Linked DNA regions of Mus musculus. The protein of the gene in region 1 interacts with the protein of each later gene in a biochemical or structural test. Links are inferred from orthologs where the notes say so. Each region holds a gene or a part of one and is shown on either strand. Other genes may lie near its edges.

Region 1 (10,087 bases):
TTTGGCACATCCACAAGGGGCAGATGGGCTCAAGGGTGGTGGAACTCTATTCGGGGATCAAGTAGCTCCGGACAGAGGACAAGGGACCACAGGAATAGAGGGAGCAGCCGGCTCTAGGACTCTGAGCTCTGGGCAGGCACAGGGACAAGGTTTGTTCCGGTTCCCTTTTTGTTGCTATGATAAAACACTTTGACCACAAGCAAGTTAGGGGAAGAAAGGTTATTTCAGCTTACAGCTCACAGTCATCACGGAGGGAAGTCAGGGCAGGATGTCAACTAGAAACTTGAAGTAAAAAGAATGGAGGAGCGCAGCTTAATGGCTCACCCTCCCACGGGCTTACACTCGGCTAGCTTTCTGCATAGCCTGTGACCACCTGCCCAGAGACTGGTGCTCCACCCTGTGGGCTGGGCCCGCCTGCATCCATTAATCATCAGGACATTACCCCACAGACATACCCACGGGATGGTCTGATCCAGAAAGTTCCTCAATTGACTAACTGCTGTGTAAAATTGACTAAGCTAATCAGGACTAGGGGCCTATGGGAACGGATGGGGTAGCTGGGTTCCTAGGGGTCCAGGCAGACAGGGAACAAAAAGCCAAAGGGGTCAGAGAGAGCACTGATTAGGGAAGAGGGGTGAGAGGGAGCACTGATTAGGGAGGATACTGATCGAGGAACTCAGAAAACCCTCAGAGCCTGCCTGCGAAGAAAACTTCACAAGTGATGAAGAAACATGGTGGCAGTGGTACTTATGATTGGTGGAGTCCAGGGATACTGGGGGCTGAGGCTACTGGCCAAATGGAGTTAAATGAGACTCCTTTCTAAAGCAATTTAAAACACGGCAATAAGCTGGGCGTAGTGGGACAAGCCTTTTAATGCCAGCATTTGGGAGGCGGAAGCAAGTGGATCTCTGTGAGCTCAAGGCCAGCCTGGTCTACATAGTGAGTTCCAGGACAGCCATAACTAGAAAGTGAGACCCTTTCAAATAATAAATGAGTACACATGTTAATTAATTCATTAAAATGAATAGAAAAACAACGCAATGAAAAGTCCCAAGTCTTAAGGGAAACTCCAAGCATCCTTACAGACATGTCAGTATACAAGAGGCGTCCTGCTGTCTATGGTGATCTAGTGTGGCCCAGCCAGGGCTCTGGTGCTGTTGCTGTGGTCACATTAGAATGAGAGTAGTTGGGAGAGTAAATGTTGGTAAAACACTTGTATAAGGACCCAGATTTCAATCCCAGAACACATGTTGTTTAAAAAAAAAAAAAAAAAAGGAAAAGAAGAAAGGAGCGGGGGGGGGGGGGGGGGGAGAGAGACTTGTAATTTCAAAACAGGTGATAGAAACAGACAGATCCTTGGAACTTGTTGGCCAGCCAGTATGGGCTAGCTGTTAGCTCCAGGGAGAGACTGTTTCAAAGGAGGTAGTGGTTCTTGAGGATGACAGCTGAGGTCTTCGGGCTTCCACCCAAACACCCAAAGAAACACACACACACAAACGCATACACACACACACACAAATATACATATATACACAAAAACCACAAAATACACACACACACAAATACACACACACACAAATACACACAAACAATTATACACTCACATAAATACACAAAAACACATACACACATAGCATACACACACAAATACACACATACAAACAATTACACACACATAAAACATACACATAAATATACAAACACACATAGCACACACACACAAATACACACACAAACAAATATACTCAAAACATACAAACACACACACACACACAGAATGAAGAGGAATCTGTATAACTCAGTTTTAGAAAAATCAAGCAGAGATTGAGGCCAGGGGATCAGAAGTTCAAGGTCACTCTTGAGTGAGTTTGAAGCCAACCTGGGCTACATTAAAAGCCTGTCTTCAACAGAACCCACTAAAGATACAATGGAAAAAAGATAAGACAAGGCTGTGTGCCTTATGGTAAAGAAATGTGTGTACAAAATCTAAAGGAAAACAACCAAGAAGACACTGTTAGAAGAAACCATTCCATGCATAATACACTCTACGGAGATAACCGCTAATTCTAGTGTAAACAGCGAATGCTAAGTTTCCTCTCTAAAAGAATTCGAGAAGCTAGTGACAGAAGGTGAGCCTTCAGAGAAGCGTGGACTGTGAACTCAGAGAAGCATTCAACAGGCAGAACACAGAGGCCGAGGGACGTGGGATGCCCATCAAAACTGGGACATTTCTGGAGTAGCTTACAAATGGAAGGTGGCAGCGTCACCATTTTAACATTCATGATGCCCTTCCTGTGGGATCTGGCGCAGCAGCGGCATAGCACGGACAGCCGCTGGAGCAACTCATTCTCACAGTGAGAGCAAATGGAAGGGAAAAAGAAAAAGCCATGGATCAAAACATGCCAGGTCTTGTGGGTAGCATCATCCCCGTGCCTTCAGGCTCCTTCATAGTCGGTCTATAGTTTCCAGCTTTGTATCATAACTGTGCACAGAGCCGACTTAAAAGCTCTGGTGAACACACTATGGGAAATTGCCTCTTACAGTCCCCCAAGCGATTGATGTTTCTGTCCCCACTGCCAACATTCCTGAGGAGAGGAGAGTTCCATCGTGACCTCGGGAAGAGGAAGAATGGTGACCTCACACTGCTATGGGAACCTGCTCATCAGACCTTTGCTAGCTGTAAGCGCTTGCTGGTCTCTTCAGGGCCGTGGACTGGGATATCCAGGCTGCTCTCAGAGATTCATAGGCTTAATTTTCCTGTGTCTTGCCCCCGCCCTGGCTGAGTTTCTGAATGTTCCAAAGCTCCCACCATTCCAAACAGCACCCCAGGGCACCGTTGATGGCTTCCCTTGGGAACTGACCATGAGCATCCTTAGACCCTGGAGCTCAGGGAGATCCTTGCCCATTTGAGACTTCTGCCTTGAAAGCAGCAGCATCGAGGCCTTGAAGTCCCTACATCTCTCACAGGCCGGATCTGAGCATCATAGAGGCCTGGCACGCCCATGTCCATATCTCTTGCACATAGGCCATAACTGGTTGCAATGAATCACTGGTAGGGACCCTGTTATGGAAGGCCCACGGGTGTCAGGGCTAGCTTCTGGAAGTGGACAGTGGTTCTCCAGAAACAGTAATGGAGATCACACCAGCATGTGGGCTAGCCTGTGTCTCTATTAACCTATGCCTGGCCTCAGTCTGTGGGTTTGCTCCAAGAGGACCAGCCTGTCACCTAAGCCCCAGAACCAGACACAGCAGCAAGTTATGTACACATTGGCTCCGCCCTAGAGCTGATACTTCTAGACCTAGGCCCAGCTGCATGGGTTTCACAGACAGGCCACTCTGTTTCCTCTCAACGGAGGCAAAGGATTCTGCACAGGTGGCCCTCCGTGTCTATGTGGCTGAGCTACAGAGCCCAAACACTGGTTCTAACATGGGGCTGGACATTACTAGGCAGGCATTTTCCAAGATTAACCTCTGCGTCAATAGACTCAACAAAGTAGATTTTCCTCCCATAGTTCACTGGGCCTCATCCTATCCGTTGAAGGGCCTGCCTCACGTTGGCTCATTTCTGTGGAGAACCCTGAGACCTCTTGACCCTAAACTAATGCCCAGCTTTCAGAAAGTTGTTGGGGTGGTGCTGCAAAATAGCATTGTGAGGCTGACGGATGGCTTCCTGCTTAGGTTGTTTCTGAGGTAGCCAAAGTGCCAGTCTCTTCTCTGTCAGCTTCAAGGGGTGTTGGACCCCAACCTTCTAAGTCCCTACACAGACCATCTCAGGACTGATGGCATGGGGATGTGGGTGTTTGTGGGATCCAGGGAGACGGAGCAGAAGGCAGCCTCTCGGCTTCTTACTACAGTGTTGGCTGCGTTGATGCTGGCGGTGGGGAAGCGGGGGCAGTGACTAGCCCAGATGCTGTGTTTTCCAAGGAGGGAGAAGCTGTCAGGGCACACGTCCTCAATAGTCCAGGACCTGACCTGACCTGACCTCTGCAGATCCTCCAACTCTTTACCAAGGAACCACTTGCTGGGTGATGACAGGGGTGACCTGACCTCTGCTTTATAAGGACTCTGGCTGTGCCACAGGCTTGCTCTGCTATGGGAAAAGCTCCTAAATAAAGGACTATAAGACTCCTCTTAAAGTTTTAAGCAAATCCTATCAGACTATTTGCAAAATCCACATGCAGAGGCAAGGCCTGGTATAAACGTAACTTTTATTTGCCTGATGTAATTGTTGTCTAAGAGGCTTACTGCTTCAGTCGGCTAACCTAGGCCTAGTCCTGGATGCTTCTAGCCTTCATATAATCTAATCTAGGTCTAGAATGTTTTCAGCCTCTGAGACTTGCTGTTGAATAAGCTTACCCCTTCCTAGTTCTTTCTCAATTCTGGCTGATTCAACTCAGCTGTTCTGGCTCAAACTCCTCTCTGGGTTGACTGATTTAATCTGACCTCTCTCATTTTCTTCTGAATTGCTCTGTTTGGCCTCAAACTAACTCTAGCAATCTGTTTTGATCTTCTGGCTCCTTCTCATTCTCTGGTTCATTCTGTCTTCACCTGTGTCTGTACAACTCTCCCACTAAAAACTGCCTCTTCCCCCTCCTCCTCTTCCTTCTTCCCCCTCCCCTCTTTCTCTAAGTAGCTTCTCTTTCCTCTCTCTTCTAGTGAGAGTTGGGCATATCCTATTCAGTCAAATCTTTCTCTGCTTCGTCACTTTGTCTGCCACTCAATTAGACACCACTTTCAAACATGGCTACTTCCTTCTACAAATTAACTTTACCTTCATTGTTTGGGAGCAAAGGTGTGTACTAAGGGTATGTCTGTATTCCACTCAGAGGGATTAACAGCATGTGCTAATGGGCCACACCACAAATAGAAACCCCTTTTTTCCCTTTGGTAAATAATGCAGAGTTCACAGTGTGATCAGATAGCCTATAACAGCCTGGACCTCTGGCAGCAGAGATATATGCTTTAGGGAGATAGCAGCACTCAGCAACCATAGGGCTCTAATCACTTGGCTTACCTGGGCCACCTGTCTCAGCCTGGCTACCACCTCCCACTATAGAAGTGTCATGGAGAGCGATCCACAGGGCCTCAGGCATGTGGGGTGAGGGAGGAAACCAACACTTCCCTTTGAGGTCCCATTTATGCAACAGAGATAGAGAATGGAGCCAGCCAGTACTGGGTTGGCTGCCTGGGGTTATTTCTTGAACATCCCCTAAGGTTGTCCAACAGCCAGGCAGAGGATGCCCTGAGCTGTTTTTTCCCCCCCAAGGCTTGAACTGTATGTAACCTCTGAGTGACCGAGTGCACTTGGAAGCATTTGGGAACCTCAGGCAGGTCTGACTCATGTCCAAAGGGGGAGAGATGTGAATAAAGTAGCTGAGTCAGAACCTGCACCTCCCTACAGAGTCACCCCACCAGGGCTCCATGTAGCTCCACACACACATTCAACACCCCACACCCCTATCCCCAGCCCTACCACCTGCAGAGAACCACCTGCACCTGAGTGATGATAGATTGTAGCTAGCGGGAGCCTCAGTAGTCTCCACGGCTCACTCCTCATGGGAGTGAGTTTTGAAGGGAATTTTGAGTCATTATTGACTGCAGACATTTGGAGTTTGCAGAGCCAGTCAGCCCACCCTCTCATTTCCCCAGAGTTCAGTGGCCTCCCCAGTTCACACCCTTTCTCCATAGAGAGCAGAAGGCTTCCTCCCAAGCTGTGTATCAAAGATAGCCCCCGGCCCCCTGCAGCACTTCCTGCAAAGGATGATTGCATGGTTCCTCCACAATCGCAGTGAACACAATTCACCCCAGCCTAATGCATGCCTGCGGCAAGACTGTGTCCACATATGTCAACAGAGAAATGTTGGAGAAAGGAGGAGATAGGAAACTTGGGCCTCTCCAGCCCTAACTAACCCTCAGGACTTGCTCATTTTACTCCTGCTTATGGCAGCAGTCAACAATCTCTCATCTGCTCACTCACTGGTGGATGTAGAAAGGGTGTCTGTCACCTGACACCTTCCCCCTATCTGGGATATGACCCTGTGGTTGCTGGCCCCAGGCCTGGCCACTATGGTATGTGGGTGGGATTCTTGGGTAGAGGACTTCCTTATTATCTGCTATGCTGTAAGCTGGGCTGGGCATTTTGGAGCCCAGGTTCCAGAGACTTGCAGGGTAGACTGAGAATCACCCCCCCCCCCACACACACATACACACTCCCCACACGCCATTTTAAAGCAGATGGGGACAATGGACATCTCAGCAGCTCCTTCTCTTGCTCATTACCTCCAATCTGACACTCACCTTCATGACCATAAGTATCTACTTCCATTCATAGTAGGTGGGTGTCAGTATGTGACCCCTTCCCTCCCACAATCTGTCCCAGCCACCTCCACCACCACCCCTACCCCTTATCATAGCTGACCTTCCTCAGTCCCGGGCATCCACGACTATCACAGAGAGAGAATCAACACAGTCGGCTGCCTGCTGACCCACAGTTACAGATGTTCCCAGCGCTCCTGAAACTCTGCTCAGCTGTGGTACCAGGCCTCCCATCCCTGGACGTCAGTCAGGAGAGTCTGAATAGCCAGAAGCCACATGTACAAGACCATTTTTTTGACAGATAGGCAAGGTGAGAGATGGGGAAAGGCCACCAGTGCCTGTCGGGCTGGAGTCATAAAGAGAAATTCCACCGGAAGAGCCCACTTCTGAGGTGTTTCCCATAAGAGCTACCTGAACACAGGAGCCCTGCACTCACCCCCTCTCAGTCCCAGGAAGCCTCCACTCCGAGAATCTGACTGGAGATGTCTTTGCCTACTTCTTGCCAGCTGGCTGTGTGGTTGTGTCTAAAGAACACAGCCGCTGAGGCCCCCCCGCCTGACACTTCCTGTTCTAAGTCAGCGCCCAGGAGGAAGTTGAGTGACATTTGGCTGATTGGCCCACATGTGGGTATCACCTCAGCCCCTTTACACGTGGGACGTTAGAGAAGAGACACTGAGAGAGGGAGGGGCTTGTAGGCGATGACAAGCTTTTACGGCAAGAGTGGAGGGGCTACTGTTGGAAGCAGCAGCCATTGATAGCATCGAGGGGCTCTCTCACATGTCAAGAAGAGGTAGGGATTCATGGACCAGCAGGCGGAAGCAGAGGCTGATTGTGTGGGTTCTCAGTCTGGGAGAAGGACCCAGCTACAAGTGGATGGGCTGAGGTGGTAGCCCACTCGAGGAAGCAGGCGAATGGGAAGAAGGAGGCAGGGGAAGGTCCTGGGCAGAGAAATGGGGCAGAGTGGGGCATGGAGGGATGTGTTAAGTAACACTGTAGGAGCTCAATCACAAAGTTAGTGGTGAACAAAACCCCACCTGACTAGTTGCAAGAGGAGAGAGGGCAGAAAGAGAGACACCAAAGGGAGTTGGGAACCTTTAGCATAAGATTTGAGATGTCAGCCTTGTTGAGAAACAGTTAATTCTTTCCGCAACAATGTTTCATGGTTACATCCCACTACCTGCATCTTTAGAGTTACATGCTGAAATGCTCGCAAATGGTAGAAAAACATGGCAGATTTTCTTCCTTGTAATCAGGATGGGGGTTGGAGGTGGGTGTGGATACAAGACAGAGGCCAGGAGGTGACCACAGCGGAGGGTTGGGGGGGGGGGTGTTGGCTGAAGACCTGGGTGTTCATGTGTTACTCTTTCTTCGTGTAGTATGCTTGGTAGAATTTTTAAAGACATAGTTACATGAAGATAAAGCTGTGGAGTGGGGACATCAGCTATGCAGGACATCCTGGTGATAATGGTTGAGAGGGTTACAAGAAGTTAATAGCCCTGAACCTTTATGCATATTTTCTATATCTTCTCACAGTTGAAAAAAAATGTGCAAAAGATGCCAACTGTTGAAAGAACATTGTTGGAAAGCAGGTGTATCAGTTCACACTTGTAATACCAGAATGTAGGATGCTGATGCGGGAGGACCACTGGCTCAGTGGTTAAGAGCACTGACTGCTCTTCCAGAGATCCTGAGTTCAAATCCCAGCAACCACATGGTGGCTCACAACCATCTGTAATTGGATCCGATGACCTCTTCTGGTGTGTCTGAAGATAGCTACAGTGTACTCATGTACATAAAAAAAACAAATACATCTTTTTTTTAAAAAAAAAAAAAAAAAAGGAGGACCGCTGTGAATTCAAGACCAGCCAGGCAGAACTGTAAGATCCTAGCTCATAAAGGACGGGGAACGGGGGACAAAAGTCAAGAATGAAAGACCTGCACATACTTGTAGAAAATACTAACAAACACCACCAAATATCAGAAAGGCATAGTTCAGAGGCCAGGGAGATAGCTCAGAGGGTAAAGTGCTTGCAACACAAACTTGATGACGTGAGCTCAGCACCCCATTGGGCATGCGCAAAGCTGGGTGTGGCTGTGTGTGCCTGGTACTCCAGAGCTGGAGATATGGACTATTGTCCTCTTGGATCTTTGATGCTCACTGGTCAGCCAGTCTAGCTCATCGGTAAGCTCTGAGCTCAGCAAAGAGATCCTGTCTCAAAAAATGAGGCAGAGGGCAATTGAGGAAGACCCCTGGCTTCCACGAGAGCATGCATGCACAAGCCAGCTCCCTCACAAACAGACAAACGTGGGCATACGCCACAGCACTCACAAAGACACCACAATCTTGATCACTTTTCAATACACTCAAAAGGAAAACTGAGACTGGAGCAAACCGATGGAGCCACAGACCTTCAAACACGTGTAGTGTGGTATCAGTGGGAGTTCTTATCACAGAAACCAAACCTGACAAGAAGAACTTTAAGGGAGGGAGGATTCATCACCTGGGATACAGGCCATCTTGGTGGGGAAGTCTGTGGTGTGTCTTGGAGCTCAGTAGGGGTTCAAGTTTTCCTTTCTTAAAAAAAAAGTTTAATTTTAAATTTTATCTTTTAAATTTTAATTAATTAATTAATTAGCTAATTAATTAATTTTTGTTTTGAGACAGGACCTCTGGCTGCCCTGAAAGACCAGGCTAGCTTCAAACTCACAGAGATCTTTCTGCCTCTGCCTCCTGAGTGCTGGGATTAAAGGCGAGTGCTGCCACGCCCGGCGCACTTTTTTTTTAATGTGTTTGTGTGTATGTCTGTGTGGGTGCCCCCCGGAGGTCAGAAGAAGGTGTTGGATCCTCTCCCCCATCCCCGCCTCAGCCTATGGGATGGTTCTGATCACCTTCAAGATGGGTTTTCTGTTAATCCTCTCTAGAAACTCCTCACAGAAATACCCAAAGGAGTGTTTCACTAATTCTCTAAGGGTCATCTCTTAATCAAAATTAACCACTGCAAGTGTAACACAGAAGCAGACAGGCCAAATAGAATGCTGTGAAATGCTTGAACGAATATTCTAACTTTCCACACCGTGCCGTGATGTCAAAACACGTTGGGATCACTCACTGAGGGTACAAAGCAAGTCTCAATTCAGTCCAAGCTACAGAAATCTCAAGGAAGTCAAAATTAACTACTAAGGAGACCACGAAAGGAGACGCCCAGAGCCCTGCCAAGCTGGAGACCCACCCGACAGAGTGAGAAGCATCCCGTGCCTGTAGGAAGGACTGGATGAGAACGTTAGCCACAAGGTGCATCTCAAGACTGAGAGCACTAAGGTGGTGCACATTGTTAATCCCAGCACTTAGGAGGCAGGGGCAGGTGGATCTCGGTGAGTCTGAGGCCAACATGGTTTACAAAGCTGTTCTAGGACAGCCAGGGCTATACAGGGAAACCTTGTCTCAAAAAAACAAAAACAAAAAACAAACAAGAGGAGGAGGAGGAGGAAGAGGAAGAGGAGGAGGAGGAGGAGGAGAAAAAGAATCCTAGTGTGTCTGGACTGCAGTTTGGTTCTCAGTACCCACACCAGGCGGCTCACAACCATCTGTAACTCCAGCTTCAGGGGAGCTAAAGCCCCTTAATGGCCTCCTCAAACATATGCACACATGATTTAGAAAAACAAACCTTTTTAAAAAGCACAATGGTGAGATTCTTCTCAGGCAGCCAAAAGGAGAAATAAACCCATTTTAACTCTATGCAAATGATCTGATCATGTGTTTCTCGGAAATATG
Region 2 (10,131 bases), on another chromosome or scaffold:
GTTGGCAGTGAGTGCTGGTCTAACAAGTGAGGCCACAGATACAGAAACAGTCATTGTAGCGTGTGTTTCCTTTTAAGGTATAACATTCCTTCAGGTAGGAAGGACTGGCTACATTCTTTTATTCAGTTGCATACTATTTCTTGGTATGCCCAAACCAAACTTTATTTTGCCATCTCTGGGGTTCTCTATCTTTGAGTGCTTGGTAAATGTTTGACCTTCAAATACAGCTGCAATGTGACTTAGAGGTGGAGCTCAGTGGCAGAGCACATACCTGGCCAAGTACAAAGCCCTGACGGTCCCATCCTCAGCCCTAAGGAGCAAAGCCGCCCTAGATCTTGACCAGATCCCTGTGGGAGGGATCCATGCATCAGTGATTTCCAAGACTGGAGCCTGGTGTGATTGCAGGGCACACACACACACACACACCTATCAATGTAAAGAACTGATATCCAATCCAGGCGTGGAAGTACACACCTATAATCTGGATGCTTGGGAGTGGGAACATGAAGAGTAAGATGTCAAAGCCAACTTACCTTAAACAATAAACAGGTGGCTCAGCAGTTAAGTTAGGCAGTTAAGGCTGCCATTGCAAAGGACTGGAATTCGGTACCCAGGACCCACATTATGGCTCACTCAAGTTCCAGGTTTCAATACCCTTTTCTGACCTCCACGTGTGGGCATATTCATACATGTAGGCACACACACACTCTTTAAATAAAAACAGGGCCAGCAGGCTGGATGGTAGTGGCACATACCTTTAATCCCAGTATTTAGGAGCCCAGGATAGGCAGAAGGAAGCCAGCCTGGTCTACAGGAAAAGTTCCAAGACAGTTAGGGCTACACAAAGAAACCCTGTCTTGAAAAAACAAACAACAACAACAACAACAAAAACCAAAACAAAACAAAACAAAAAACAAAACCCAATAAACAATAAAGAGGACTAGCAAGATGGTTCAGAGAGTGAAGGCACTTGCCACCAGGCCTGCTGACCTGAGTTCCTCTCCAGGACCCACCTGGAAGAAGAGAAATTACTAGTGCAAGTTGCAAGTTGTCCTCTGATCTTGGCACATGCACACGCACTCGCGCACACACGCGCGCGCGCGCGCGCGCGCACACACACACAGAGTCTCACTGTGTATCCCTGGCTGGCCTGGAACTCTGTAGACCAGGCTGGCTTTTAACTCACAAAGATCCTCTTGCCTCTGCCTCCCAGGTACTGAGATTAAAAGCATGCACTACTGCACCCAACATAATTTTTAAAAATAAACTACAAATTTAAAAGTTCAATCCAAACTCCAGGGCTGTTTCTGACTCTTGTCTCCAGAGTCCTGCGGGCCCAGCAGTCCTTCCTCTTGCTTCTGAGAATCTATTAGACCAATCATGAGCTGTTATTCGGTCTTCAGAGGAAACAGGACATTAGGCAGGTATTGAGGTGAGCAACATGTACACTTGCCTAAATCCTATCACTTGCTGCCTCTTGGGATGCCACGCATTGTAGACCATGATACTCTGTAATGTGAAACTGAAGCTCCTCTGTTGATGCCAAGCAAGATTTCTCTCTCTCTCTCTCTCTCTCTCTCTCTCTCTCTCTCTCTCTCTCTCTCTCTTTCTCTCTCTCTCTCTCTCCCCAATGTCCCACGTGGTCCAGGCAAGGCTATCTGTCCCAAATAAGGTATCCAAGGACGACTGTGAACTTCTAAGATCCTTGTTCTTTCCACTCTTGAGTCCTGGGGTTGCAGGTGTTTTTAAGGGTCGGATCTAGGTCAGAGGCTGGGTCTACAGCTCAGTGGCAGAGTCCTTGCCTTGAAATCACTAAGTCCTTGCTTCAATCCCCAAGACCAGGTAAGCCAGGTATGGGGTATCAGCCTATAATCCCAGCACCAGGAAGTTCATCAGTTCAAAGCCATCCTCAGCTCTGCAGTGTGAGTCCAAGGCCAGCCTGGCTACGTGAGACCCTGTCTTCAAACAAACAATTAAATGACTGGGGCTGGAGAGATGGTTCAGCAGTCAAGAGCACTGGCTGCTCTTCCAGAGGATCCAAGTTCAATTACCAGCACGCAGATGGCAGCTCCCAACTGTTTGTAACTCCAGTTCCAGGGCATCTGATACCCTCACACAGACATACATGGAGGTAAACCACTAATGCACATAAAATAAAAAATTGACTTTTTTTCTTTTTTTGGTTTTTTTAAGACAGGGTTTCTCTGTGTAGCCCTGGCTGTCCTGGAACTCACTTTGTAGACCAGGCTGGCCTCGAACTCAGAAATCCTCCTGCCTCTGCCTCCCGAGTGCTGGGATTAAAGGTGTACGCCACCATGCCTGGCTAAAAATTGATTATTTTTAAAAACCTAAAACATTAGACACAATTAGTCATAGAGTACAATTAAACAAAACAACACAGAACAATCCAGGCATCCAATGGTGGCATTCTAGAATGTTCTAAATTCCTATGGCACACTCTGCTGGCAGATGTTTAAAGAGATCTCTAAGTGACTGTGGGACTTTTCAAGGCTGTCATGTGCCCAGTGAGTCTCCCTGCTCCCAGGCCCTGGCCCTGCCACTCACAATACACGGTGATGGTAGCGGAAGCGGACGACTGCACGGTGCCACAGTTCTCAAAGCACAGCGGACTGCTGTCCTCCCCGATCTCGCTCAGCTCAAACAGCTTCCAGTTGGGTCCACTCTCGAGCTCATCTTTCAGCCACTGAGTCTCCAAGCCCAGGCTGAGGTCCTCCTTGCATGAGGAAGAACAGTTCACCTGCACGGACCCACCCTGGGGCAGGAAGGCTTCTCTGGGATGGATGGATACCTGAGCATCACCAGGCCCTGGAACAACAAGGGAGGGGGGGAGAGATGAGAGGAAGTTTGGTTATCCCTGTGACTTCAGGGCCAGGTGCTGGCCTCACAGCCTCCAGCCAGGCAGAATTCTGCACCCCATGCAGGAGGCCATTGTGCCCAGCACACAAGGCAACAAATTATGAGTGTGGAGGGGCTGGGCTGACTGCCTAGCATGCCTGAGCTCCTTCCTCTCAGCACCCAGAAACTGGGTGTGGTGGCACACGCCTGTAACTCCAGCACTCAGGGGGATCAGGGGTTGAGTAAGGTCCTTGGTTACAAATGGAGTGTAAGGACAGCCTTGGATACAGGAGCCCAGGTCTTCAGACCTGCTAGGAAAGCGCTCTGCCCTCGTGGCCCAGCACCAGCCCAGCCTCAGTGGTGGATGGGTTGTTGTTATTTTGTTTTTCCTTTTTTAGCTTGTTTGATTTTTTTTTTTTTTTGAGGTAGGATTTCATTATGTAACCCTGGCTGCCCCAGAACTCACTCTGTAGACCAGGCTGGCCTCACAAAAAGATATGCCTTACCTCTCTCTGCCTCCCAAGTGCTGGGACTAAAGGCCTGTGCCACCACGCCAGACTCCATAGTGGTTGTTAATAAGAGGTTTTTTTTTTTTTTTGGCTTAAGCAGAACAGAACAGGACATAACTCCTTGGTGACAGATTTGAGCAGAGGTCTGGAGGGTGAGATGGCTCTGGCCAAATAGGAAGAAGAAAAAGAAGAGAAGGAAGAAGAAGAAGAAAAAGAAGAGAAGGAAGAAGAAGAAGAAGAAGAAGAAGAAGAAGAAGAAGAAGAGGAGGAGGAGGAGGAGGAGGAGGAGGAGGAGGAGGAGGAGGAGGAGGAGGAGGAGGAGGAGGAGGAGGAGGAGGAGGAAGAGGAAGAGGAAGAGGAAGAGGAAGAGGAAGAAGAAGAAGAAGAAGAAGAAGAAGAAGAAGAAGAAGAAGAAGAAGAAGAAGAAGAAGAAGCCAATTTCAGACAGAAGAAGGAGCATGGCAGGGGCTGGATGCTCAGCACGAAGAGGAAGAGAGTGAAATAAGAAGATCCTCTGGGTCACGGTGTCCCCAGTGCCAAATGTGGTGGCACACACCATTAATTCCAGCACTCAGGAGGCAGGAGACTCGTGAGTTTGAGGCTAGCCTGATCTATACAGTGAGCTTTAGCTACACAGTAAGACACTGCTTTGTTCCTTGGGTGGCTGAGGTTATCCCTCAGTCCTGGGGGTGGGAGGGGGCCCAGAAGCAGAGCATTCACTAACTTATGCAAAGACTTGAGGCCTGTCCGCAGCTGGGTGTGAAGGCGCAGGACTGTAAACCAAGCCCTTGGGAGGCTGAGTAGGAAGATCAGGAGTTAGCCTGGCCTGGAGTACACAGCCTGGCCAACATGGTTTCTATGTGAAAACATCAAAAAAGGAGCCAACAAGAGGCTGAGCCAGTAAAGGGCTTGCCAGCAAGCCTGACCACCTGCCCTCAGCCCCCGGAGCCCCTGCAGAGGGAGGAGGAAGGAAGTGGTCCTGCAAGCTGCCTTCTGAGCGCCACAATTCTGCTGTGGCACTAGCACATGCCTGTACAATAAGTAAATAAAGTGTAACCACTTAACTAAAGTAAACAACGAATGGGGGTGGGGGATGGAACCATTGGGGCGGCAGAGGCAGACAGGTCTCAGTCCCAGGCCAACCTGGTCTACAGAGCAAGTTGTAGGACAGCCAGGGCTACACAGAGAAATCCTGTCTCAAAAAAACAAGACCAACCAAAAAAAACAAAAAAACAAGAAAAACCAATAACAACAACAACAAAAAACTGAACTCAGCTTTCCCCTCCCCCATCTCTCCACCCTCACCCCCCCACACACGCAAAGATCCCAGTGCTATGATTGGTGGTCTGGTGGAGGTAATAACAGCTATAACAGCTAGCAACTCTCCTCAATACTTCTGGAATTATTCGGGCTCCTTGGAGAACCCTGAGGCAAGAAGAAGTCATCCAGCTAGGAGTTATGGATTGCGGGAATCCAAGTCGGGAGCCTCCTGATAGCTGCTGAACAAGTTCTGAATCTTCCTCTCTTGGGAGGACGGCAGGCGCCGCCCCCAGGCAGCAGCAAGGTGGGGAGTCCTGAGCCGGCTCACTCTGGCTCCAGGGTACACCAACCCTGGAATTCCCCAGCGCAGAAGCAGCCTGGACTTCCCCAGGGGTGAGGATGAGGAACGGGTGTCTGTGGGGGAGGGAACCGGACCTCAAGATTCACTTTAGGACGGGCCAGCCCCTCAGACCATCTGTTCCCCACCTCAGCCATATTCTGACTGCCCCATGACAAGGACTGTGACCACAGTTCCCATTGCACAGACCATGAGCCCAGGTTCTAAACGTGCATGTTTTAGGAGAGTAGTGTGTTTTGAGCCTGTAACCCGAAGAGCCGCGAGGCCTTGAGGACTGAGTTCAAGGCCAGCCTAGGCTAACGTGTCAAGGCATCATTCTCAAAACAGGAAAGAAAGGAAGGGAGGGGAAGAGGGGGACAGGGGGAGAGAGAGAGGACAGAGAGAGGGGGAGGGAGGGAGGGACTGGGAGGGAGAGAGAGAGAGAGAGAGAGAGAGAGAGAGAGACCGAGATTTTGGGTTCTGTAACCCACCCATGGAGTGATGCTACGTGGGATTCGAACTCCGGGCTGTTAGTTTTCAACCCTGGGTTTCCAATCCCACTTCCCGTTAACAGCTGAATTTATGTGATGTTCCGCTGGCCGGGAAGCAGGGATTTCGACCGCGCTCTGGGTCCTGGAGTTTGGAGACCTGCCCCCCAAAGCGACCCCACCTCGGACTCACCAGGGATCACAACGGTGACCAGGGCCAGGAGCAGAGGTAGCGTGGGCTTGGCACGGGTTGAAGCCATTGCAGGGCCAGGGCAAAGTGCAGGTAGCAGCGGAGCTCAGCACTAGCACTGGGTGCAGACTGAGGCGGGCGGCGCTTTTATAGTCTCTGGCTCACGGGGGGCCGAGGGGCGGTGCTGTCGGGGCCACTTTCCGGGAAACCTCGCGCCTTCCCCTCCGGAACGAGGGCTTCGGTATTTCCGGGTGGAGACTGTGCCCTGGCAGAGAGGGGTGGTCCTGCCTCGCTGGCCCCTGCGATCTAGGAATTTCCAAACTGAAGTAATGACATGTGGGGGGAGGTGGTGTCAGAGACCAGCAGGTGAGTCCGGAGAGAAGGCCCCGGGCCTCCAGGAGTCACGCCTCCTGGTTAACTGATTGACTACTGCCTAGTCCCCTGCGACATCAGGACCGCCATCCCCTCAAAGGGATAAACTGAGGCTCGGCATTTCGCAGGGATCCGAAATCAAGTCCTGATTTCCCCAACTACTGCAAGCCTCTTTAACCCACCAGACATGCCCTTGCCGGGGATAAGGGCTCCCTGGAATCGTTAGGGGACGCCATCCATTCAGAGGTGCCCCTCTCCCCAGGACCATGCTCCACCCACTTGGCACTAGAGATGAAGCAGCGATCCAAGCAGGCCCGGACAGATCCGCTGTGAGAAAGTCCTGCCTGAGAGGCAGTCCTCACTTCCCTTCTCCCACTCACGACTGCTCCCGCCCCCGCGGCCTCGGTTCCCCTTTTCTGCTTTGACTTCTGGGGCGTCTTGACAGCTCCCCCAAAAGGAAGGAAGATGTCTGGTCCTGTGGCGTGGAGCCCTGCACCTCCCTTTCTTAGACTGGATGAGAAACAGAACTCCGAAGAGGAGAGGCACCTCTCAGAAAGCAGAGATCCCCCACTCCCCAGCGCGCCTTATGGGGGGGTTTCCTCTCCTTCTCACTCCTTTCCCCCACTTCCTCCATCCTCTGGCCCCGCCCCGTGCTAGTTTCTCCCCTTCCCCCTCTCATCTCTCCCCCTGCTGTCTCTTCTTGAGGTCAGGTGTCAAGTAGCTCAGGGTGACCTCAAACGCCCTGTAGTTGAGGATGACCTTGAACTCCCGATCCTGCCTCGTGCTCCACTGCTCTTGCTTTTCGCAGTGAAACTGAGGCAGACCTTGAACAATGAGATTGGACAAAGAGAGATATCAAACCCTAGTCTTCCAAGACCCAGTGGCTTGCTTACTGGCCTTTGGACGCCCGAGGCTTCCTGTTTTAAGACGCCTATACAGTTGCTGTGGAGACCAGCCCTGGGCCAGGAGGTCGTGCTGCAGATGCGGAAGGGAGAGGTCGAGATGCACGTGTGCTCTTCCTCCAGAGCCCACAGCTCCCAGGCCACTCCACACCCAAGCCTGAAGCCTGGTTATTCCTAAGGAATTTCCACGGGGATGTTTTGATTGGGGGGGGGGGGTGTCTGGGGAGCGGGCACTCAATCTCTACCCCAGGACAACTATGATGGAGTTTCAGAGTGACCTCAAGGGAATCTGGGAAATCCCTCAGAGTGGATTTTTCTAGTGGTGTCACTGAGAGTCTTTGGTCCTCATTTCACCTGTTTGAGACTCCATTGCCCTAAGGTCCCATATGCAGTCTTTAGTTTGACTGTTTAAAGCGGCACCTTCTGTGTTGAGCGCACCAATCGGTCCAAGAGCTGAATATTGGAAAATCCTGCTTTGATCCTCAGTGGAGCATCAATGAGCAGAACATAACTCCTTCAACAGAGAAGCCAGCAGCATACAGCAGCAGCCTGGAAGTGTACTGAAGAGTACACTGGAACAAGACCAGAGACTGACTGGATGAGTTTAAGGTCAGTTCCACAAGACATGATTTCTTCAAGAACCATAAACTGGGGGCTGGAGAGATGGATGGGTCAGCAGTTCAGAGCAAGTGCTCTTGCAGAGAACACAGGTTCAATTCCCATCACCCTCATGGCAGCTCACAACCATCTGTAACTCCAGCTCTAGCGATCTGATGTTTTCTTCTGGACACACACACAGTCTTATGGCTGGAGAGGTGGCTCAGTGGTTGAGTGTATATCCTGCTATTGCAGAGGACTGAAATTAAGTTCCCAGCACCCATGCCAAGCAGCCAGCATGCATGTAGTACACACACACACACACACACACACACACACACACACACACACACACACAAGCACACTAAGTGTTAAGTGTATAAAATACACATATAAAATAAAATTAATCTAACACAGTAATTAAAAAAAATTAATCTTAGCCGGGCGTGGTGGCACACGCCTTTAATCCCAGCACTCCAGAGGCAGAGGCAGAGGCAGGCGGATTTCTGAGTTCGAGGCCAGCCTGGTCTACAAAGTGAGTTCCAGGACAGCCAGGGCTATACAGAGAAACCCTGTCCCAAAAAAAACAAAACAAACAAACAAAAAATCAATCTTTCTGGGTCTGGAGCTCAGTAGAGTGCCTGATTAACAAGCACAAAGCCCAGGTGGAGGAAAGAGGATCAGGAATTCAAGGTTATCCTCTGCTACATGTTTAAGGCTAGCCTGGGCTACACTTAGGGCTTCTCAAAAAAAAAAAAAAGCATGGGGTATTATTTTGTGATTACTGATAAAATAGAAAACTAAAGCCAGGGATAGAGAGTTTGATGGTTAAAAAGAACTGGTGTGGGGCCTGGAAAGATGGCTCAGCGGTTAAGAGCACTGACTGCTCTTCCAGAGGTCCTGAGTTCAATTCCCAGCAACTACATGGTGGCTCACAACCATCCATGAGATCTGATACCCTCCTCTTCTGGTGCATCTGAAGACAACTACAGTGTACTCACATACATAAAATAAATAAATCTTAGCCAAAAAAAAAAAAAAAGAAAAAAAAAACTGGTGTGGTGAGCATAGCTTGGAGGGATGGCCTAGTGGTTAGGAGCAGAGCACCTGGGCTTGGATCCAGTACATCTAGAGGCTCACAATTGCTTGTAACGCAAGCTCCAGGGATCCCATAAAAAAACAAAACAAACAAACAAAAAAATCAATCTTTCTGGGGCTGGAGCTCAGTAGAGTGCCTGATTAACAAGCACAAAGCCCAGGTGGAGGAAAGAGGATCGGGAATTCAGACATCTGCATACATGTGGCAAACACACACACTTTTCTTTTTTTTTTTTTAATTAAAAGAGGGTCTGGAAAGAAATGGCTCAGCAGTTAAGAGTAGCTGTGGCAGCCGGGCAGTGGTGGTACATGTCTTTAATACCAACACTTGGGAGGCAGAGGCAGGTGGATCTTTAAGTTGGAGGCTACACAGCCAAGGCTACACAGAGAAACCCTGTCTTGAAAGAAAGAAAGGAAGGAGGGAAGGAAGGAAGAAAGGGGGACTGGAGAGAGAGTGTGAGAGTGCAACAGGTAAGAGGACTGATTATTCTTCCAGAGGTCCTGTGTTCAATTCCTACATGATGGCTCACAACCATCAACCATCTGTAATGGGATCTGATGCCCTCTTCTGGCCTGCATGGGTCTGTGTATACAGAGCATCACACATAGAAATTAAGAGCAAACAAAGGCTAGAAGCTAACCTGGAATACATGAGAACCTTCCTGCATGGTCCACTGGTTATCTCTTGGACTTGAGTCCATTCTCAGGCTAGACCCTTTGGAGCTGTTGGGGCTTGGGGCCAGGGTCGAGGGGTCTGAGATCCTGGAAGGGTCCTTCGCTGAGTGGAGATGGGAAGGTAAATGGCGGCAATAGACTGTGGAGCAGCACACTAGAGTTACATGCCTTTGTAATTTCCTCCCCTGCCCTGTACCTCAGTCTGCAGGAAGCGCATGACTTCCTCCCTGGAGCCAAGTGGTCTCACAAGGACTAAGGAATGCTCTGCGGATCAGTCTATGATATTACCTCGGTGTTCTGGAGGGGACTTTTTCAGTTCCCTCCACCCACTATGCCTTCCCACTCATCCCAACACAGCTTGTCCTCCTGTCTCCTTCCTGCAGCCTGAGCCGCCTCAGTTTTTATTTATTTACTTTGAGACAGGCTCTTGGGCTATAGCCCAGGCTGGCTTGGAACTCCCCAGCTTCTGCTTCCAACACTCAAGATCTGGGGTAGCACCACCACGCCCTGCTTACATTTCCCCTAGTTCAATGAGTAGTAGATGAGCATTCTGCCAGCCCTGGCCCCCACTGTTTTGCTTTTTGAGATAAGGTTTCATGTAGTTCAGGCTAGATTCAGACTTACTACAGAGCCCACGTTGACATGATCCTCCTGCCTCAACTTCCCAAGTGCATTCAACACCTTGCCCGGCTCTATCCCAATAACTTGAAAGTACATTCTAGACACAGTCTCACTTTCCTAGGATGCCTTTTCCCTCCTCCAGCTGGCTGAGGGTCTCCAGTGTGCAGGGACAGGTTCTGAATTTTTATGAAAGCTCTGTGCGTGGTGATGGCCGGTCTCGAGATCA

What was found. The genes of interacting proteins can lie anywhere in the genome.
Region 2: the proteins of Itgb2 (region 1) and Icam1 form a complex in vitro, tested with the Homo sapiens proteins (4 studies listed by BioGRID). The link is inferred for Mus musculus from reciprocal best matches to the Homo sapiens genes ITGB2 and ICAM1.

What each region holds. Positions count from the first base shown.
Region 1 is NC_000076.6:77,527,124-77,537,210, reverse strand, and holds the start of Itgb2 (integrin beta-2 isoform 1 precursor), read right to left. Parts: upstream 6,842-10,087; 5' UTR 6,752-6,841; intron 1-6,751.
Region 2 is NC_000075.6:21,011,614-21,021,744, reverse strand, and holds the start of Icam1 (intercellular adhesion molecule 1 precursor), read right to left. Parts: upstream 5,806-10,131; 5' UTR 5,711-5,805; coding exon 5,644-5,710; intron 2,827-5,643; coding exon 2,566-2,826; intron 1-2,565. UniProt on the Homo sapiens protein: ICAM proteins are ligands for the leukocyte adhesion protein LFA-1 (integrin alpha-L/beta-2).